3 linked regions of the Oreochromis niloticus genome follow. The protein of the gene in region 2 purifies or fractionates together with the protein of the main gene of each other region. This does not show direct contact. Links are inferred from orthologs where the notes say so. Each region holds a gene or a part of one and is shown on either strand. Other genes may lie near its edges. The genes, in order: usp1, phlpp1 and usp46.

Evidence for each region.
Region 1: the proteins of phlpp1 (region 2) and usp1 purify together in Homo sapiens (affinity purification with mass spectrometry; 6 studies listed by BioGRID and IntAct, counting the BioPlex papers as one, with this or other methods). This does not show direct contact. The link is inferred for Oreochromis niloticus from reciprocal best matches to the Homo sapiens genes PHLPP1 and USP1.
Region 3: the proteins of phlpp1 (region 2) and usp46 purify together in Homo sapiens (affinity purification with mass spectrometry; 7 studies listed by BioGRID and IntAct, counting the BioPlex papers as one, with this or other methods). This does not show direct contact. The link is inferred for Oreochromis niloticus from reciprocal best matches to the Homo sapiens genes PHLPP1 and USP46.

Annotation. Positions count from the first base shown.
Region 1 is NC_031981.2:33,420,716-33,428,412, forward strand, and holds the start of usp1 (ubiquitin carboxyl-terminal hydrolase 1), read left to right. Parts: upstream 1-4,597; 5' UTR 4,598-4,966; intron 4,967-4,994; exon of another isoform or gene 4,995-5,174; intron 5,175-5,448; 5' UTR 5,449-5,516; coding exon 5,517-5,689; intron 5,690-6,017; coding exon 6,018-6,162; intron 6,163-7,697. UniProt on the Homo sapiens protein: Negative regulator of DNA damage repair which specifically deubiquitinates monoubiquitinated FANCD2. Also involved in PCNA-mediated translesion synthesis (TLS) by deubiquitinating monoubiquitinated PCNA.
Region 2 is NC_031982.2:17,682,470-17,690,548, forward strand, and holds the start of phlpp1 (PH domain leucine-rich repeat protein phosphatase 1), read left to right. Parts: upstream 1-5,045; coding exon 5,046-5,064; intron 5,065-6,080; coding exon 6,081-7,670; intron 7,671-8,079. UniProt on the Homo sapiens protein: Protein phosphatase involved in regulation of Akt and PKC signaling.
Region 3 is NC_031986.2:37,319,360-37,326,704, reverse strand, and holds the start of usp46 (ubiquitin carboxyl-terminal hydrolase 46), read left to right. Parts: upstream 1-4,263; 5' UTR 4,264-4,644; coding exon 4,645-4,680; intron 4,681-7,345. UniProt on the Homo sapiens protein: Deubiquitinating enzyme that plays a role in behavior, possibly by regulating GABA action. May act by mediating the deubiquitination of GAD1/GAD67.

The sequences.
Region 1 (7,697 bases), on a different chromosome or scaffold from region 2:
AACATATCCATCCATTCTCTTCTCCCTATCCTTATAAACCCCTCTCAGACAGGATGCAAAACATGTGAAAAGTGAGAAGCGTAAACTGTTCACTTATGCTTGTGTTTTTGCTTTTTTGGATCACGCTCCAGTTTTCCTTTGTCCCAGCTGCTCTAAGCTGAAAGAAAAGTCTCTGTTTTTCATTGCATTTCTGAGTACATATGTGCACACAAGTGTAGCAGACTTGGACATGCTTCTCATTCTTGGAGTTCACCACTGCCTGTCGTTCAGCATGCTTTCATTTTCCTACCAGCGCTCAGTTCTTGAGAGAGAACCAGGCTGGAGGCTGGAGGAGGGGGGCTGTTTTGTCTCTTGGGCTTTAAGCCCGCCACACCACCCACCTCTACCGCTCCAGCCACTAGAGCTTTGGGCCTCGTGGGACAAGGCCAACCTTGATGAAGGCCACTTGCATAATTCAAGCACCTCATTACTCAAGTTCTTGTAAAACTGGTCCATAAACAGTATCTGAATGTGTTACATTCAGGTACAAGAGAAGCTTTTTTTCTTCATCACTGTTCCTCGAGTCATTTTTTTTTTTTGTATGCCTTCTAAAAATGGAAAGTCTCTCCGGTGAGAGAGAGTATTGCCACCAACGTTTCATAGCACAGATCTCTCCAGTTATCGTATTCAGCGTCCAAAATACCGGAAAATAAAGCCCTGCTTACATTTGACCCTTCAGCATACAGCAGCTTGATACGTGGGTGACCTGGCTATGCCCTCTTTATAAAATTCTGTTATAAGGAGGTGATGAGAGAAGCGAAACACAGTAATCCTCCTGAATGTGAGTCTCCTGGTTAGGATTTAAATGGTGAGTGAGAGAGAAAGCATATCCAACACATCCCCTCCCCGGCCCGCCTTCTGTAATCTAAAGAGATCACTAGCTGCTTGTTTGATCTGTAATGAAGTCACACAACAAGAGTGATTTAGGATAAACTGAACCCACTTTAAGTGAAGTGTGGGACTCTGGTAGGCTCTAGTAAGTTAATTAAGAGGTTTGCTGTTAAAGCTACCTCAGAGCTGGAGACTGAAGAGTATTCTGAGCCATCAGACTGAAGGATGGCGATGGCATCATCATCTACAGTCCCACAGGAAGTCTTAGCACCCCTAAAGTACTCCCATCCACTACTGCATCAGCATCCTTACTGCAACATCCTACCACCATCAGCCTGAAAGCCACTGAGGTTTTCTGGAAGCTGAGGCACAGCAGCTCAGTGTCCATCGGTACGTTGCTGCTGACCAAGCAACCACTCTGCAGCAGCAGCAGCAGCAGCTGTAGCAACAGCAGCAGCGGATCGTCCAGCCTTCATACTGTCGTACTGACAAATGCCTGCACTGACTACGTGCATGGATGAAACGAAACACCTGCCGTCTCCCCATGTCTGTGCCGCTTTCAGGTGATGCGATCCTCTCTATATCGTAAAAAAAAAAAGCAAACAAACAAACAAAAACAAAAAAAACACGCCAGCCAAAGCACTCTGTAATACTGTTAAAGCAAAACAGTGCAACTGATACAAATAAGCTGTAAAGAAGATTAAACTAGACGCACTCGCGGCCCGGCTATTCGAGCAGATTTAGGTTTATCAATTAACGCTGGAAGCAGGGGAAACGTAAACAGTGTCTTACCGTCACAGTCGCGGAGGGATAGCCTCGGAGACTGTCAAACGATGAGATGCTCCGGTGAAGGAGGGAATGATACTACTGGACAGATCGATCTCCGTTCGGCTGGATAATGTCGTCCCCTGTTGGTGCAAAGCGGGCAGTGCCTGTACAATAAGCGTTTTGGTTTCTCTCCCTTTTTATGTATTATGTATACATGTAAATGGCTTCCTTAAATACAATTATGAACAGCTGATGTGGGACAAGCTTCGTTATTAAACAAAAGTCCACAAATATACTTTGGTTCCACAAAAAATATATAGTTTCATTTTAACAGCTGCAAACTATAAACTTCCGTTTACTTTTTTCAAAATAAAAGAACTGGCTAATGAAAGTCGGTGGTTGCCATGTTCTTGCTCAGGATTTTAGTAGGACATTTGCTTGGTTTGTTATCTACGACTTTAAATGGTACGTGCAAAAATCTCATCCCCACTCAAACTAAACTAACTTACTTAATCCCAGAAAATCAACCCCGGTTATCTGGTGGCAGTGACTTCCTAACTTGGAGGACTGCAGATTTCCCCTGTTGTGCCAAAAAGTGATCAACTGTCAAAAAAGGTCAGATCTAGTTCAATTCTACATTTTTTTTTTATGCGTAATAGCTTTTCTTATATTGGTTAATAGACTGTAGTCACTGTATAAGATTGAAAAAAAAAATACCTGTCTGCAAGTATCTTTGACTCCATTATTGTAATTACATTATAATCAATCCAGTCCTTTTTGACCACTTAGAATATCTTTATAGGACTGGGATGTTAAACTTGCTGCAATTTCTGCTTGTCCAGTTCTCTCTTGGAAAAGGGCATTTTTTAATGTCAGACACTTTTTACCTTTTTTATTGCAGCATCTACCTTGTGACAGGATTTTGGTTCTGGCTCACAATGACTTGATATCATTAATGAGAGCACAGCACAACAGCTGACAGGGCCAAAGTTTATTTTTATGATCGTTAATATGCAAACTGTCAAGACCATTCATCAGTGGCCATGAGTACCATTCAAAGAGAATTGGAGAATAGCCACAAACAGCGCTGTAAAATGGTGAAGTAAGGCCCTGTCCTTGCTTCAAAGATGGTCATTCCCTTTTCATGTAAATGACCTTCTTGCCTCCATGTTCAGAATGGTCTGGGATAACCAGGAATCCTTCAGCTTCCCTGCCCTGTATTAGCCTAAGAATACATCATTCACCATCTTAAAGTGTTGTTATTGCAGTCACTGTGATCATTGATCAATGGCCCATTGTTAGTCATTTGTGGGTGTTTTCAGTCATCATGCAAATGAACTGCTTATAATGCTGGGGAAAGCTGCAGTCAGCTGAAAAAGTCACTTTGATGAGAGATGAAACGTTTTTCCCACTGAAATGTACCTCTAGATGAACAGATTCAACTTTGTGGGATTTTCTTACCTGGATGACTGAGCATAATTCATAATTTACTATTATATAACTATACTATTATAGTCTCGTGGGGTTTTTTTTCAGGTAATGATTTATTTTTTTTATTTTTTTTGCTGTTGGACCCAGTTTTGTTCATACTCATTGGCAGTGTTGGGAAGGTTACTTTTAAAATGTATTCCACTACAGAATACTGAATACATGCCCCAAAATGTATTCTGTAACGTATTCCGTTACGTTACTCAATGACAGTAACGTATTCTGAATACTTTGGAATACTTAATATATTATCATGCTGTTTACAACTACGTGAATGTACTATTGCTGTGATTTATTACTGTTACTGAAGGTCCGAAACGTAGTAAAGGGACCTCGGGCTAATACGTCGGGTTCGTGTCGGGCTGGTAGCCGAAAACTAGCTTTACTTTGTTGTCTGGGTCAACTTTGCTTGCGGGAGACAGAGAGAGGCGTTGAAAGGCTGCTCCAACGGAACTTATTTTTCCCGGAGGAAAACACGAACACAGTGTACAGTTGAGTCTTAATAGCTTACTTACAAATGGGCTCCTCAGGCTCTCTTCTTGGCTGCTGTGGTTATTATTATATTTACATGCTTCCAGCTCCCGTTTTTGCTCCGTGACAGCTCGGACTTTTCCTTTCTCTCCCTCCCTCGCTCACAGACACATAACGGGTATGGTAGTCCATTCTCCCTGCAGCACGGACTACACTGCCCATGATGCTACATTCTTTAGAGCTATGCCTGTAGCAGTCTGCCTATTAGCTTAGCACAACAACAACAACACAAAGGCGCTGTCTCACCCAGGAAACACGCAGAGAGAGAGCGTCACCCTGTAACCATGGCAACCGTAACGCTGCCGCCTGGAACAACAGAACGTAGCTGTCAAACAAACCCAAACAATCCTGACCCGCGACAATATGAAACAGGGAAGTACCGCCGTGTATTCCATTTATTTCACCAAAGTAACTGTATTCTGAATACCACCTTTTTAAACGGTAACTGTAACGGAATACAGTTACTCATATTTTGTATTCTGAATACGTAACGGCGGTACATGTATTCCGTTACTCCCCAACACTGCTCATTGGTTTGTACTTAATAATATTATGCTTTCTATACAAACATCTGATTCTATGTTAACCATTTTTCTGTAAATCGCAATTTGGTGTTGGATCAGATATATAAAATGTGAAGAGGATTCAAGAAATATAGAGCACAGTCTCCCAAATTATACCTCTTATACAACAGACCAGCTTCAGCTTGTCTCAACTTGAAATTTGAAAGCCTCTGTGGCCCTTGGCTTCCATGGAAGCCTTGATGAGTTGTATACCTTTTTTTTTTTTTTTTTTTTTTTACATTCATTTAATGAAAGCAATTTTTTTTTTATGTCCTGTATTTAAAATCTTAGTCCTTCAAAAGGGAAAAAAAGTGAGACATGAGAAATGACTGTTCAAGTTTAGCTCGACTTTTAATTAGAAGGAGCTGGAGAAAGGACTACAAGAATGGCGCTGGGAGCTGGCCGGTTGGGTCTAGCCGAAATAGTTGTCTTAACATTAGCCTGAAATCTGGCATGTAAATCTTTTCAGGTATAGAATATTCCAGAGTTCTGCGCGCATTTCCAAATGTTCGGCAACACCTGAAATATTTTCAAGCTTAGTAGTGACCGTTTTTTTTAAACATTTTGGCCGGATGATTTGACGCGATATCCGAGCGCTGCCGGCGATGTAGCGGCCAACGAATCTTCAAGCAGGAAAAAGCGCCAACTTCTGTTGCACCGTCTGAATTGTTAAACAGTCCTTAAAGCATTTCGAGACGGGATATTTAATGGAAAATATCAAGCTTAAACTGGAATGAAGCATTCGGGTGAGTTTTGGTTCTCGACTCTGCTGGGATTTCAAAGAAGTCCTTTTTGGCCGTGAACAGTTTGAAACGGCGTGCTTTCTGTTTTCTCCTCCCACTTCTTCACCGCACCTTCTCGAGCCAGTTTGTCGCTGTGATGTGCGCAACGTGCTCAAAAAACGCCGAGTTATTTGTCGCTACCCTGTCATTTAAAACGAAAACAGCTGCTAACGTAAGCCGTTCTATAGCGGTTGTTTGTGGGAGGGACTGAAACAAAGTACCACCTTTAAGTTAGCGTTAGCCAGCTAACATGTTATATAATGCGTGGTTCGGTCAATAACCGGTTCGACTGTATTATTGAGAAGTGTGTGCTTGATTAGACTGAACCTGTCCGTGTGTAGCTGCACAATAGTGGACCATGAACTTAAGTGCGCAGCTACGTTCGTTCTCGTTGAACTCTGATGGCGCCCGCTGAAATTACATTGTGTGTTTCCATTTTTCACCAGTGAGGTTCGCTGTTGCGTCTCAGTAGGAATTTAAAAGAAAAATCGCCCTCAAGGTACTGAGAGGAAAGATGCCAGGTCTGCAGGGTGAAAGTGTGGTAGTAGCGGCTCCGGGGAGCCCAGTGAAGAAGAGCAAACTCTCTCTGAAGTTCTTCCAGAAGAAGGAAACCAAGCGGGCTCTGGATTTCTCTGAACCTCAGACAGAAGAACCCAAAACATGTGAGCCAGAGGAGCCTGAGGCAAGGTAGGTCTCTGCTACCAGTGTGCGTCAAACACAAATAGTTTTCCAGACTGATGTGTTTTGGGCAGCCCGAAGCACTCGTTTTCCCACAGTTACATTTAGATAATTACGGGAATTCCACTGTTGTTGTGAGGGCAGGATAATGCACGTGTAGATGAGTGACACCTTAGATTTTAATAGGCTTCATCTCAATCAAGCTGGTGTTAGACTTCAACATTAATCTCAGTGTAATCATTTTAAAAACAGTGTGTGCCCGCGATGGTGGCTGTCATTTGTGAAATTCAATTTATTAGCTGCTGACTTTCTGTTTGCTTTCTTCTTAACCGATCAGCAGCTGCGATCAGGTGGTCCCTGGGCCTTCTCAGTGTCCTTCCTCACCCAGCCTCCTCCTGTCCTGCGAGAAGAGAGAGAACTTGGTGCCGTTCGTGGGACTCAATAATCTGGGCAATACCTGCTATTTGAACAGCATCTTACAGGTGAGCCATTACCACAGATGGAGTTAATTTCCAGCGTTAATAGATGTTTTGTCACTTGTTCCAGTGTTTTAGTACAAATGGTAGGATGGGCTTAAATATACTGAAGGAAAAGTTGAAAACTGCACAGAAACTTAACAGTGTGTGTGGTTTGTTCTTGTGCGATTTAAGTTGCATTGAATCCTCAAACCTGTTCACCTGTGTTATCCCACTCAGAAGTGGATGTTCTTGTGATGTTGGGAATGTTCAATTTTCTGATGGGGAAATTGTGGTTCAGCGGTTGTAGTGTGATGGCAGTCTGTGGGGAGCTTTGGACTGTTCTACCTGCAGAGAGCCTCTGTAGTCAAATGGAGGCAGTGCTAAAAAAAAAAAAAAAAAGTGGTTCGACCGGTCTGTAGGCTACTACTGAGTGTTGTAAACAATGTACAGTATCCACTGCAACCTCTGACTGTACTTCTCATACATTTTTTTTTTTTTTTGAACTTCTTTCCCTGTTCTGGCCCACTTGTCAACCAGTCAGCACATTTCTGTTGGTTAAAAACCCATCTCTGTAGGTAAATATCTCTGGAAACTAGGGCTGCCACGATTAGTCGACTAGTCACGATTACGTCAACTATCAAAATCGTCGACGACTAATTTAATAGTCGACGCGTCGTTTGAAGCTTTGTAAGATCCCAAAAGACGCAGGAGTAAGTAGTAGGATTTAAGAGTGTAATAACGGACTGAAACAGAAGATGGCAGCACTGCATGTACAAGGATGCCTGCTGCCGTTAAACCCCAAAGAAGAAGAAGCTGTGTCCCAGAATTCATAGCGCGGCCCTGCTCAGTTTCCAATGATGGCGGCAGCTAGTTAGTTTTAATATTACTCTTATTATTCTTTCTGGGTCACAAAATAAACGTTTAACCTATTTTCAGGCGAGAATGTAGCTGTGTAAACCTCAAATATCTGCTCAGTTTATCAAGACACCACATGTTCTCAAAAGTGCTCCGACGTTTTCGGAGACGTCTGTTACCCACCAGCTCGATAGCTAGCCGGGGTTCAAGGCTCACTAGAGCCGTTGAGAACACCGGACTCCCGGCAAATCGTTTTCAAACCCACCGCTGTCTTTCGCTACTCAGGTTAAACGTGATATATAAGTCACTTAGATAACTTAAAAATGATATTGTTTGGCTTTTTTTAGTATTTTATTTGTTCCTGAGTAAATTGGTTTGGCTGAGATTAAAGTTATAGTTTTTACACAGCTGAATAAACGTCAAACAGACAACTGATTATCAGAAGTGTGAGATGCTCGAGAATATACTGTTATATTTTAGATAGCAAGGAGCAGACTGCTGAGTTTATTAAACTTCACCTAAACAATCTGCAGATTTCATTAAAATTTAATAAAATATCATCTTGTCTTTATGTTTAGTTAGCACATACTTTAAACACTTAAAGCTGTAAGCTAATGATAGTTATATAAGAGCAGATGCATGCTGGTGCAATAAGCTGGACGTTTTACGTCCAATGGATGCATGATCTGATTAGTCGACTAATC
Region 2 (8,079 bases):
ATTAGCAGAAGGGTGTGTTCCTCCTCTTTCATAATGAAAAGTCCAACTCTGTTGTTTGGTTTGCCTTTGTGAAACACCCTGAAGCAGTCCTGCTGGTCACTGTCCAGTGATCTAAGACTTTTAATGAGCTCTAGAGTTTGCTGAGCAGATATTCTGCATCGTCCTAAACACTACGGGTCACACCTGAGGTCCACTCATGTGAAAATGTGAGAAATCATAAGGATTCAGCAGTTTGGTTATGCAACGTCTCCACTTACATAAGAGTGTAATTGGACAAGCAGTGCCTCAAGAAGCCCCCCAACACTGCTGTGCTGATGTTTTATTTTGTTGTTTTTTCGTTTGCTACTTCTGCCGTCCAACACAGAATTTTGTTTGTTCTCCTGCCGTGGACGCATCCTCCCTGAGGCAGGAGAAGCAGTCACCTGACTGGGGTTCTGTTACATGCTGTGACATTGTAGAGGGGACGTAAGGTCATTAAAAAAGATTGTATCGTACCATTTTTATATACAGAAGCCATGATTCACTACCCACTGGTTTGGACTCAAAAGCTTGCTTTGGTGAGGCCTAATTGGTGAAATTACACCACAGTGTCCCCTGCTGACGCATTCAGATCACTGCAGGCTTTTTTTCCCACTCTGAAATCTGCTTTATTTGGAGCTTTGGATCCAAAGAATATAAAAAAGTAGATATAGCTTTAATGTTCTAAAAATAGATCTGTCATGGTCAAATCTAAAAATTCCATTTAACGGCATTCTCTTTATGTGTCCTATATAAATCAATGCTATCAAAACTTTATGTTATTTAAAGAGGAATCTATCCAAGTAGATCATTAACAGATTGTAAATTATGTTAGGGCTGTTAGAAGTCTCAAGAGGGGGAAATTGAAGTTTCCTGTGATGTGAGAAAAGAATTCAGAAGACTCATTCATGGCTTTGAGATGAGCATAAATAATGCATGAAGCATACTAAAAGGAGTCAGGGCTTAAAGGCTGCCGTTTGTGAGCTAAGCCTTTGCAGCTTCGCTCAGTCTTCTTCCTCTTTGTCCTCTGCAGGCAGCTATAAGGAAGGAACTCAACGATTTCAAGAGCAACGAGATGGAAGTGCACGAATCAAGTCGCCATTTAACCAGGTACAAACTACCAGCTTGCATGATTGCTATCACTTCAAATGCAGCCAAAAATATTGGCACGCACGTGCCGACTTCTTCTTGAAACTTCAAAACCTCTCTCTCTTTTTAAAAAAAAATATCTTTCTAGGTTTCACAGACCATAGTAGACCACCACTGTCTCGAGCAGTGCCCAACCGGCGCTCTCCTCCACTGAGAACCTTAAGTGCTGGACAGCAAAATGGTGCCCGTTTCTACAATAAGGCCATGTCTTCTGAAATGCCTTTTCAAGTCCCACACAACTGAGTCGGTACTACGCCACAAGACGCAGACACCCACTACTCCATCCATGTAGTAGCACACAAAGACTCCAGCCGATTCACATTGCCCCCGCCCCGTGTGGAATTTGCTCGACTATCTCTAAACCTCTCTGCTGAGCTCTCAGGCAGGCACTCAGTTCTGTGGCGATTGGATAGCAGACCAGTTTTTTCGTTTGATTGGCACGCTTGTGTCATCTACTGAGGGCAACTGTACCTTGGTATGTCAATAACACCAGTAGACTTGTCTCAGTGGAGATGTTTTTATTCCTCTTCTTTATTATGCTGTCACACCAGACTCCTTTAGCCCTTACGGACAGCTTTTGTGCCAGGATGCAGGGTTGATTGTTCTGAGCTCATTATGTCAGCAGAAGCTCCATCATTACTACACCTGCTGGGACTTTGGAAACAGCTTAGAGAAACAGGAGGAAGGGCGGGAGGGAAGGAGGCGTCCAACATTAAAAATCATGTGCAATACGGTTTTTTTTCCTTCTGCTTTTCTTAGACTATAGCACCCCCTGGAGTTTCCTCTATGTCATTACTATGTAGTCCTGACTTCTTTCATGCACTTCTCACTGTACCGAAAATGCTGACATTTAATTGCTAACTGTGAATTTAAGAGTTGGGCCTAACGCCTGTACTCTCTCTCTCTTTAAATGTATATTTTGTTTATACTGAAGAAGGTCAAATTTAAAGAAGAATCTCGTTTAACTACATTTTATTCATGTCGGTCTTATAAATTTACTGTCAAAATTGGCAGCTGGCAGATATTTTCTGGTTTCCAGTGTGTGCAAGAATGACCTGTTTTGTATTATTTTGACAGTGTTAACTGGTTTTTTTTGTTTTTTATAGAGGCGCTCGGCTCATAAACAATTTACGTCTTTACATGTCAGTGCTTTGATGTGTGTGATTTATATCAAGAGATGACTCACCACATTGTCTTTTTTCTTTTGCAGAAGTGTGTGAAATGATCTTTGCTCATAACGTGCATTGTATTATACACTTTACTTTTATACTTGTGTCACCCAAGCTTTTGACGAAGCAATACCCAGCGTTTATAGAGAAAAGGTTAAACTGCAGGTGTACCCCCCCACACACACACACAAACACACACACACACACACCATTGTTTTTTACTGTGCGTACATACTATGCCTACACTTCAGGGTTTAAAGTTTTCTTTTATACCTTACTTTTAAAAAAAAGGAAAAAAAAGGCTTTATTCTGGGGGACTTTTTTCAGCAATTTTCTTGACTGAGCCACCTGAAAATCTGCCTCTTTGACAGCTTTACCGACACATTCGGACAAGATTTGATGGAACTCTCAACAAAAAAGGACGCATTCTCTATTTCAAAAGATTTGAGCACTGATTTTAGTGTATTCACTGAGTCAGGATTTTTAAATATTTTTATTCCTAAATATAGTTTGCACTGTTAAGAGTGTGGCTTTAAAGTGGCCGTTGTTTCAAGGTAAAGTCCAAATGTGTAAAATATTGTTGGATTTCTGAGGTGTAACCAGTGTGTCTCTTCACTTCAGTGGTCTTTGTTACCTGATCACCGACCCTTCACCAGTAGTCCAGTGCTCACGAGCTTTATGTGCACAGAATATTTTCATTATTTTCTACTGTATTGCTTTTAAAGTTGCAATATGAAATTGTCAGATGAAGAAACAGTGGAGTTGAACGGCTGCCGCTCGCCTTTTACAATACATCTGTCTGCAAATTAACAGGGTTTTCGCGGTGATAGATGACCTAATGAAATCAGGGAATTGACGACAAAAAAAAAAAGTTTTGCACTGCATGGTTTGAATGTGAATGGATAGGGGTTTGCTGAATTTCAGATCAGAATCAATACACAAGTATTTTTCTTGTCAACCCCCCTTCTTCTTCTTCTTCTTTTTTTTTTTTAAATATCAAAATTTCAATGGGTCATCTAATTGCAGACACTTTAATATATGTGGTATTTCGTGTTGGGAGCAGCTTCTGTATAATTCAGCCATCTCAACATGTTCTTTCATTTTTTTAAGTCCAGAGGTTCAGTACAAGCATAGTAGGAATAGGGAGGAATTTATATTAAAAATAAACTCCAGTTCTCATTTTCAGCTCTTTAGTAACAACCTGAGCCAACGGGCTGAGCATGAGGTTTTTCCATTTTGCTGGAATCAAGGAACATGATGTCAGCAATAATCTGATTCCTTTTACATGTCTGTGGAGCAACTGAACAAAAACTGAATGCAGTCCTCTTTTTTCCCCCCATTTTTAATCTACAGAATACTATGTAAAGGATACATCATGCCAATTAAACTCCATTTCTGAATGCATTTACTTTGTATGCATTATTTTTGTACATATTTTAGGCTTGTTCTTTTATCCTTGTAGTAATTACAGTCTAAGATCACTAAAACACACTCTTCTTGGGCTGTTACTAACTTATAGAGTATATACAGTAAAAATTGTGCTTATGTTTTATTGATAGAAATGTTTACTAACAGTATTTACATTTCAGAGCCTTCTTCTTATGGTCCAGTAAACTTTCCCATGAAGACTGTAATTTACAGTCTCAATTCAGGTGTAAAATGTACCTCAGTTTAGAATATTACAAATCAGGTTTGGACCATTAGGTAATTCCTTATGATACTTTGAGGCACATGTATATAGGGCAGGGTTCCCCAATCACAGTCCGTGAGGGCCGGTGTCCCTGCGGGTTTTAGATCTCACCCTGGGTCAACACACCTGAATCACATGATTAGTTCATTACCAGGCCTCTGGAGAACTTCAAGACATGTTGAGAAGGTAATTTATCCATTTAAATCAGCTGTGATGGATCAAGAACACATCTAAAACCTGCAGGGACACCGGCCCTCGTGGACTGGGATTGGGGACCCCTGTTCTACATGTGCACATTCAGAGATGCTTTTCTGAATATGTTGGTTGCAACAAGTGTTTGAGTTACTCCTGCCTTCCTGTTAGTTCAGACCAGCCTTGGTATTCTTCTCTGGCATCAACAAACCCTGGAGATGATTATGAGGGAACATCTTAGTAGATAATCCATCCATCTTCTTCTCCTTACAGAAATTCAGGGTCATAGGGGGCCGGTCCCTATCCCAGCTATCATGCAAAGAGAGGCAGGTTACATCCTGGACAAGTCGCCAATCTGTTACAAGGCAAACACATAGAGACAGACACAGTTTAGATAAACAGTCTCTGAAAGACTCAGATCAGCCCATCTAGCACCAACAACCATGCCTTTTTCAAAGCTGCTTAAATCACCTTTCTTCCCCATCCTGACGCTCTGTTTCAACTTCAGCAGGTCATCTTGACCATGTCAACATGCCTGAATGCACTGAATTACTGCCATGTGATTAGCTGATCCTAACAAAGTTGACAGTTTAAATAAACTATAATCCTTTACGCATTGAGACTTCCGATATACAAAAATAACGTTTTTCATTTGAATATGTATGGATATTCAAATGAATAACCACTCCTCCTAAGCAGTAGACGTTAATGACATAATATTTTTGGTCTTTTTTTGCAGGATTTTTAATTCCACACAGGTAAAACGTACTTTTTTTTAAACCAAATTACATTGTGTGGGTTTATACTGCTGTAATATATGCGGCAGAATGCGAACAAGTCTGTCTGGTACAGTAAGGCTCGCTGTGGCCTCAACGCTCCACTAGATGGCGGAAAATACAACAGAATAAGTCGACGTACACTGTGCCGGACTGTATGGCCTTGTGAAATGGCGTCCTGATGAGATGGTGCCGAAGTTATTTGCTTCGTCACCACTTGTCTAAAACATTTAGACCTACAGCGAGGCTTAACTTAACCCTGTAGCATAACAAAAACTTTCTCTTTTATTTTTAAAATAAATAACCGCCGTGTAAGCTAGCTAATGTGTAAGGAATCCTCGATAACAGTTGAAAGTTTCCTCACATATTCAACAGTTGACATCGATAACTCACTGTGTGACTGCGTCTTACAGTTTTACTCGCTGTTAGCGTACAAGTAGCAAAAGGTGAGTTCGCCACAGTAAACACAGGACGGGCATCTGTAACGCAACACCAAACATTTTATAGGCGCTATGTTTACGCCTCTCAACTGTTCACCGCCTCACTTGACTGAAAGTGCAGAAAGGCTTGCTGGGAAATGTATTTTTTTAACAGTTTCGTCCCGCCAGCGGCGACTACAAGACGCTAGCTAGCGCAATACTCTTCCCACAATGCACCGCGTTGTTGTTAGCGACCCCCATCTTGTGTCCTCCTCATGAATATATATTAGTCGGTATTTGCGTAGGAGGTCGGCCGACGTTCATTTCATATTCTAGCGCTGTGTTTTGGTCCAAATGGGACGCACAGTCACGTCTCCGCCCTGATCTGTCCCTGCTCGTCCAGCCTCTTTCCCAGCGAATTTAATCAGTAAGATGTTTTTGGGGAGCAGCGGAGGAGACTCCGACAGGGAAAGGAAGGCGAGGAGTGAATGACTACTAGTGGAATAACTCGGCAACACCGCCCAGTTGGCGGACATTTAGCGCGGCGGGCACGTATTCGGGCTTTTAAATGTAGAGCTTTTAGGCATAACCAAGTGCGCACCGTTATTTATTTAGAGCGGGGGACTTTTCATTGGCAGGGATGGAAAGTGTACAGGCTGTCGCTGAGGATGGCGCGTCAGATGGAGGCGCGACCAAGTTAATGAAGAAGCCCAGCGGACTGTCTGTCGCCCGGGGACTCCAGCGGATGATGGCGGTGGACGTTTGGCACCCTCCCGCGCTGAGGCAAAGAACGGGAATAGCCTTTCTCATTCCGCCTCTACAGCGGGGACTAGTGCGTCAAACCGAGCCGTGGCGTCTAATGACCGGAGCTCATCCAGCAACTCCAGCTCGCTCTTGTTGAGACGGAGGCGCTTGAAGAGGAACCTCTCAGCCGCAGCTGCAGCCACCACTACCACCTCAGCTGTCACAGCCGCTTGCGGCGCGAAGATGAACTCGGCCCTGTCCTCTGCGTCTTTACATACTCGAAGTCTGGATAGGAAGACTCTGATGAAGCACCGACAGAACATGCAGCTGCAGTCCGCAGATCGCGAGTGGGTGAGAGCAGATCTCCACCGGGGCGCCATACATGTCCACGACAGACTGACGCCCTCGTATCCCAGGCCGGTGCTTTGCACTATGGACACCACAGCCGGCGAGGTGGCCCTCCGACTGAGTAAACTCTCCAGCAAGTCGAGCTCTGTAATGCGTATTTTTTGTAAAGACGCCTCCAAGACGGACCAAAATGGGAACTGTAACGTGAATTATGAATATAATGATAATCAGGGCAAGGTAAAAGAAGACTCGAGTATAAAATGCAGCCACCTGACCCCACTGGAAACCACAGATTTAAGGACCCGTCCAAATGACAGGTTGAGACTGCTCCTCATGGAGAACGCAGATGTCAGGCAAAAGCAACAGGACGTTGATGGAAAACTTTTCACCCCGGAGTCAGAAGACAACATAACCTGTTCGCTGTCAGACTTGAATTCTAACTCTAACATGGATACCCCCAATGACGATGATTCGGAGCACAGGAACGGTGTGGACAGTTATGGATTAAACTCTGGCTCAGATGTAGAAAGCAGTGCATTTGACGACCTGAGCTCCGGGGCCCGGCTCAGTGAACACAGGGACTCCCTGAGTGATGACATGATCCTGGGAACTGAAGCATCCATCCTCAGTCCCTCCTTTGATAGTGCCACAGAGGGCCATGACATGTACGGGAGCTCCTCAGACGAACTGGAACTCGACTGCCCAGCATCGAGCTCAAGCATGGACCCCATCTCCCAGCATCATACTAATGGCATCACTGCTGTCACTGCCAACTACAAGCAGTGCAACGTGGGACATTTAAGCGACGTGGGGCCAGATAGCAGACTCAGCCCACACAGTCTGGGCAGCCTCCCACCCAGCAGTAGTTCCGGCTCATTGTCAAGAGCTGGTTCTACAGGTAACACACCTGACATCCAAGATCCGGACTGTAGCCAGGGGGCCGTAAAAACAGGGCTCACAGCACACCAGAATGGAGATTCTTATAATTCCAGCCCCACACTGTATGTTCAGCTGCATGGTGAAGCTGTTAGGAGGCTTAGCCCAGATGAGAGGCCTCTGCAGATCCAGAATGACTTTCTCTTTAAGCTTGGATTTAAGAACCCGTGGAGAGTTCAAGAGGAGGGGCTTAACACAGAAATTGGCTCCTTGTTACGTTTTTATGCAGGTAAATGAAACTACGTGTCTGTGTATACATGTATAATATGACTAATATCATTATAATATCATACCATCGCGATCCATGTGTGTTTTGCTCATGCTGATACTTACTGAGGCCTTTATATGAAGCCTGTGTTGTTTGGAGTAGAGATCCGTAATGTTGTAGTGCTTGGAACAGGTTGTTAACCTGTGAAAGAATGAATCTGGTGGATTCAGACATTTGTATGGTATGACACCATATCCGTTTTGCAGAGGTAGGATAATATTTTCACAGGATGAGCTTGTGCAGTATGAGTGCAGCACAAAACCTGATAACTGCGACAACAGTTTAGAGGGTCATTATTAAAGGTCTGATAGACTAAGCCTGTTTCCCAGTGATGGGTTGCTATGTTCAGGTTATCCGTGTGCTTGCATTA
Region 3 (7,345 bases), on a different chromosome or scaffold from region 2:
AGAAGCCTGTGCCAGATGTCACAAGTCGGCAGTGAATCACAGCCTAAACTGGGAAGGATTATTTCCTCGTGATGCATAATTCATTTTGCCTCTCTTTGTAGCAGCTAAACAACAGGAAGGTCATCGGTGCTTTTAGCGGCGTAGCCAGCCTCTTTTACTGGAAACTTTTTTTTTTGAAACTCAAGATTAAAAAATTTTTTTGTGTGTTCCCTTGCCCAAACATTTAGCCCCACTTCTGGTCTCAAATGAGGCAAGCAGAGAAGGTTCTTTGAGGTTCATTTTTTACATGTTGTGAATGCAGACGTCCTGTCAGCTCCACCTAAACATGAAGAGGAAAACACTAGATGAGAGAGATTAAAACTCCAGATAAACGCAGACCGATTGACCCACCTTTTCGGTTCACCTGAGGCCTTCTGCCGATACATGAGCTGTCCTGCAAAGTTACAGAGATAGGAGATAAAACTGATTTGATCTCATCAGGGAATAGATCATCAGAGATGCAGAACAGGAGCTGGGTTTCATTGTAAATGCTTTTACAATGACCATATTTTTCTTGCTCTTATGGTTACTTACTGAGAACATAAAGAGCAGGAAAAATGACAATAAAAGCAGTATGAGTCATGGCATCTGCATCCACTGTGGTCTCTGTCCTATTAATACTGACTGGACCGAAATAGAAAGCAAGTCTGGGAATGTTTTGTGTCAAGAGCCAAGAGCTTCAACCACATGTAATTGTTTTCCCATCCATCAAACGTTTTTCACAGATAAACCATGAGAACACATCAGTCAGCAAGATTCTGAGTAAGTACATGGTGCATACAAAACATCTGATCAACAATGTAGCTCTCCCATCCTCCACAGCTCAAACTGTCCCCCCTGTTATTCTGTTGTTTGTTTTTCTGTTAACACTCTTATTCCTTTCTCCTTTTCCCGTCCCTTTTGAAGTATGTCTGTCATAATTATTCATTGTTTTCCTTTCTTTTTGTTCATATTGAAATGCTAAGGGGATAATTGCTGAGGGAATGTTTTGAAAGCACAAACAAAGCTGCTGGTAAATGAGAGTGTCCCGAGGGCCCAGGACTCCTGAGGTGTCCTTACCTCATAATGCCCTCTCTCTCTTCCTCATGGTCAGCTAATTGTCAGTTAGAGAACCGAATAACTGGAAATTAAATGATAATTTACAGAATGTCACCTTGCAAAAGAATGATGGCCAGTACACAACATACGTTTTCAAAGTGTAAAGGATTATCTCTGAGGCCTCTCAGTTTCAGAAAGGATTCCTCTGAAGTCTAAAGAAATCTCTTTTTGATATTATCAAGGGTTGAGGTCTACTTTTTAAACAGAAGGCCTGGATTGCAAACAGGCCATTTGAAATTTAAAAGAAGCAGAGGTTTAAAAAGCAAGCAGCGTTCCAGGAAAGATCCCAAGGGATGCATCATGAAAACAGGATATATTATGTTACCTTTTCCAAACTGATTTTGGATTGGTGAATTTGGTTAGCACTGGTGTCTCACAGTAAATGGATTCTTGTTCAAACTCAGGCAGGGTCCTTCTATGTGGAGTTTACATGTTCCATATGTGCTTGTTTGGGCTTTATTCAGGAGTGCTTTCTTCTTTTTTTTAAATAAAAAAAACCGAATAAATAGGTATTGCCAACTTGGAATATATCTATCTTGGCCCCAGAAGAATCCTACAAAGAGGTAATTAATCTCAGGAGTTTCACTTCCTGGACAAATAAAACAAACTCAATGTGAATGCCATATATTTATGAAATTTGAATATTAATTTTCTTGTATGCCTTGTTCGATTGTTTTTCGTTTGTTTTCAGGTTAAACACAATATCTGTTGGATAGAAATTCTTCAAATATGATCACATTCACCCAGGCTGTTTTTACTTGTTTTCAAGTTGTTAATGTTATGACATTTTGCACAGAATAAGAGATTCGTGTTGCTTCAGATGCATTTTTACTACTGGAAATATTTCATCTAATTTAAGCTGAATAGTTGAGCAGCACATGCAGGAGGTAGAATACATGACACCCATTCGCTTACTGTAAGTTTACAAGACAATGACCTGCTTTGTTCACACATGGGCTTAATTTGATATCACACAGTCTTTATGCTAGAGAGTTGGCAGGTTAAAATCCACTTACTGGCTGAACTAAGTGAGTCAGACATTTGGATTCCTATGTGTAACTCTGCCCGGGAATGTGTAGTGCATATGTGAAAACAGCTTTGCATGCAAGGACCTGTAACTCAAGAATTCCTAAATTTATGACAATGGCAAAATTTTCCAGAAATGTAAAACGGGATAAAATGATGAAGAAATTTGCAATTTTGACCAAGAGGTCAAAATTGTTGCATTGTAATATTATGCAAAAACACTTTTTCGCAGCCTTGAAATAAAGGAGACTGTGATCATATTTTATTTTGGATACTGAACTGGTGGCAATAATCTCTGCTGGCAGATCTCTATATAAGAGACAGGACAGACAAGGGTGTAAATTACAATACTGGAAAAATTGCGAAACAGTAATTCTAGTAACTGAACTCATACTTTTCTGCTCCATTTGAGTAGTCAAAGCACTTTTAGAAATGTGAAGCTAGAGACTCCAGTAACCATAGTTAACTGTATTCCAGGGCTAGAGCAGACAACACTGGAGAAAATTTGATACTGCTGTCTAAAAGTAAGCATATATTCAGTGAGATTGCAAATCACAATGACAGTAATGACACCCATTTGCGTCAATCGGAGGTCACTAAAATTTAATATTGAGTCTCGTGCCAGGAGTGACATGGTTAGCTGCATGTTCTCCTTAAAATGCTGGGTGTCCAAAACATGATGTGGACTTCAAGGTCAAATGGAACCAGGAAGCAGAGGATGCAGGATGAATACGTTAGCTTAAATGAGTCATACTGACTGTCAGAATCCTCAAAGCTAAGGCCGAGGAGGAGGAGTGGCTGCAATCTTTCACTCCCTGTTATTAATCAACCAAAGACCCAGAAAACTCAAAAAACAGCTTTATTTGTTATCTATCATTCACCTCATAGTTTCTAGCTGATTTCTCAGAAAATGACTTCAATAAATGTTTTGATTAAAAATTAAATTTTTAAGAAAAAAGATGTGCCATTAAGTACAGCAACTTTCAAAATTACTGATATTGGACTCTTTATTTAGACGCTTTCTGTCCAATTGATCATACTGAGTTAACTTAATGTCTTCCTCTAAACCATCACTGTGACTTTTAACTGATCATTTCCAAAGGAATAGTTTATTTGAAGCATTTTAATCAGGATTTAAAATACATCATAGCACAGAAACAGCACTAGTGAATATTGTAAATAACGATCTTCTTACGGCTTCTATATTACACAAATATGTAAAGACTCCCTTTAGTCATTTTCACAATATCTCTAATATTTAGAAACAGCCTATTTAGAAATTGACGCTGAAAAGTAAAGTCTTCTTTACTCATCTCTTTTTTACTGCCCGTGTGTTTATACACCAGTACTGTATGTAATCATTAGTAATTCATGAACTCTGGCTCCTTTCCACGGGACACAGCAGATGGCTGCTCCACCCTGACTCTGGTTCTGCTGGAGGTTTCTTCCTGTTAAAACTGACTTTTTCCTTCTCACCGTTGCTTGATCATAGATACATATCTGATTGTTTGGGTTTTCTCTCTAATATTATAATGTAAAATTGCATTGAAATGGAATCAAATTCAGTGTCTTTACCCATTCATAATTTTTTTTCTATGCTTAAGTACTTTTAACTAACTCACACACTGGTGGATGCATCTGGGACAACTCGGAGTTCAGTATCTTGCCCAAGGATACTTGGACATGCAGACCAGATGAGGCAGGAATCAAACCACTGACCTTTTGCGAACCACTCTAGCTTCTGAGCTACAGCGACTACTCTTAAAACATATGTATTGACAACTTCAAAAGGTATCATATAGCAAAAAAAAAAAAAGCTGCTGGTTTAAGAATGTGCTGTTTGCGTCGTTAGACCTGAAAACATGATTTTTGGCTCACACCACTTCTTTCTTCTTTATGGGGGAATTACTTGTCTGTGTTATAAAGCATAATATATGTTTTTATGTCACTAGAAAGCTTTTTGCATAAACCCTTCAGTCCTTTTAAATTTCACAAATCACAAAACGAACTACAAATCCCTGCTCTAAATCGCAGATGATTGGTTGCGGCTCACTTAAACTCTACCGTGCAGGTCTGTATGTGGCTCTTCAATCATGTCAATCAATTCGACTAAATCCGGACCAATCAGCTCCGGGGGTTTCCCCTGGTGGGCGGGACTGTAATGCTTCCTCACACAGCAGGCTCGTTTCCTAGACGTTGCTAACAACCTGCTGCCTGCAACTTTCGTCTGTCCCCTCGTGCACTGTCGTTTTCCAGCTGAGGGGTGTTCGATATGTGTGCGAGGATGCAGCCGTGTCCACACTGAGAGTCCCCCTCAGCTCCGTGCCGGCTGCATGGTGCTCCGTGCCTCTCTGCCTGCTTTCTGACGCTTGAGGTTGCAGTCTGGCCTCCAGCCTCGACTGCGAATTAACTTCATTGCTCAGCGTCGCCTTGCTCTATTTATTTTATAAAGATGGCGGTGAAGGGGACACTGTAAACTAAATGACTGTCAGAAACATCGCCTCCATTTGTAATATGGTGAGTAACTCGCTGCTTTTCCGTGTTGATATCGATCCGCTTGCAGGCACTGTGCTGAACCTGGTTGTGTGTGTGAGAGTGTGTGTGTGTGATGAGTCGCCTCCCACCTGCACCCAGAGAATGTGCACACTGCAGGGTTTTTTTTAAAAAAACGAGTATACACAGTAGTTTAAATCGTGGCCCCATACTTTAGTTGGTCTCAGTGCTGTCGCTCAGACAGGGCCCCTTTTGTGCACCTTTGCACGCTGCAGCTTGCCGGGAGCGTTTGCATTGTGTGTTGCATCCTGGCGAGACAACACAATGTACAGTTTGTATAGTTGTCACCGGTGATTGACAAGAGGGATGGGGGGAGCGTGCTGCCTTTGACAGCTTGGTGTGATTGCATAATGTGGTGCTGCAGCAAAGGACCGGTTACATCCTGGTAGCACAGAGCAGGAATCCACACTAATCTGTGCTCCTGGTGTTCAGGGGCAGTGAAGAGTGGGTAAGAACAGACTTAAACGGCTCTGCCTAATGCCAGTGGCCTTTGCTTTATTTAGACTAGATGCTAATGTGAAAAGCCTGCAGTGTCAGTCTCATCTTAGAGCTGCTGGAGTTCTTAGATTGCACAGACTGATATATTAATCCATATCTCATCAGGATGTGTGGTGTTTTTCTTTTGTTTCTAGATATATATATATATATTCAGAATCTCCTTTAATTTTACAACAATGTTTTGTCCTGTCCTTTTTTCTGGAAATAATTAATGGCAAGGGAGTCAAACAGAAGGAAAAAAAACAAAATATATAGACAAACAGAAGAAGACGGCTGTAGTGATCGATGTAGCGGTCCCGAATGACAGCAACATCAGGAAGAAGGAACACGAGAAGCTGGAGAAATACCAAGGGCTCAGAGAAGAGCTCGAGAGGATGTGGAGGGTGAAGGTAACGGTGGTCCCCGTGGTAATCGGAGCACTAGGTGCGGTGACTCCCAAGCTAGGCGAGTGGCTCCAGCAGATCCCGGGAACAACATCGGAGATCTCTGTCCAGAAGAGCGCAGTCCTGGGAACAGCTAAGATACTGCGCAGGACCCTCAAGCTCCCAGGCCTCTGGTAGAGGACCCGAGCTTGAAGGATAAACCGCCGCAGGGGCGCGCTGGGTGTTTTTTTTTTTTTTTTTTTATATATATATATATATATATATATATATACACACACATAGTTCAGTATTATGTATAGAGCACCAAAGACACCTCAAGGCACTTTATATTGTAAGGCTAAGACAGTATGAGCACTTGGTGACAATGGGAAGGAAAAACTCCCCTTTAACAGGAAAAAAAGCTAGCAGGACCAGGCTCATGGAAGGACAGCCATCTGCTACAACTTGTTGAGGGGTGTGGGGAGGAAGACAAGACAAAAGACACACTGTGAAAGAGAGAGCGGAGATTAATAATAAGTCATGGGTAAATGAATAGTGCTGTATAAATACACTGAGTGAAAAGAGGTGAGTGAAGAAGAAACACTCATGGGAAGCCTCCAGCAGGCTAGGTATATTCCAGTGAAACCAACTGCAATATATATATAGTATATATAGTAAAATATATATATATTACTACACTAGTAAAAGCCTCGCAACAAGTGTTCCACCAGACATAAAGCGGGAACAAGCAGTTCACAGGAAGCCATCATCATGTGATTTTTTTAAAAAACATTTTTTATCCTGATCGAAATATCAGATCGGCGCATTCCCACTCAGTATGTCCCTAACCCTATTTATTAAATAGTCTTAACTAAGTAATCTAATCGAGATGTTACAAGTTAAGGACGCACTGATGGATATGGGCAGATAAAATGCTACAGTGTTTTGCACCAGTCATTATATTATCATTATTATTATTATCCATGGATTTTTCTTAACACTGACTAACCTAAATTGCATGAGAAAACTCGTGCAGGAGCAAGGAGAACATGCAGACTGCACACATGCAGGGCAACAAGTTCAATTAGGAACCTTCTTGCTGTGAGGCAACAGTGCACCTTCAGTGTTGGATGAATAATTGTTATTTCAAGCTGTCTCTCTTAATCAAATAAACATGTAGAAAGGAGCATAATATCTCTCCTTTAAGAATTTATTCCTTTCTAAATTAACAATACCACTGCCCACTTCCTGTTATCAGAAGGAGCTCAAATTTCAAAATGTGGCTTCAGATGTCAGTAAAGGTTGGATGGATAATTCATGTGTGGACTCTCCTTGGTAATTCGTCTCTCCTGGGACCTGCATGTTTCCCAAAACATTGGAGACTGGAAGTGGTAAGCCGGACAGACGGGTATCCATTGTCTGCTTTGACAGATGAGAAATGACAGTCATTAGAAGTCAAAGCCTTCCCCAACCTAAATTGTCTGCTGTGTTCACTCAACAAAGCTGTGATTCATTTGAAAAAGCTTTGAGCTCTGACAAGTGAAAAGCCTCTGACAAGAGATAAGTGCTCTGTCTCAGCAATTGGGTGCAGCAAGAGTCCCGACTTTTGATACGGGTCTACCTATTTAGACTATATCCGTTTTCTACGTTGACATGACTTGTTGTTCTGACCAAAGGAAGCAAGATGTGTGGAAGTGTGTGCTTTCTGCAGAAAATTGAGATCTTCAAATTTTTTAGAAAAAATCATTTTATTAATTAAGTCAGTTTTG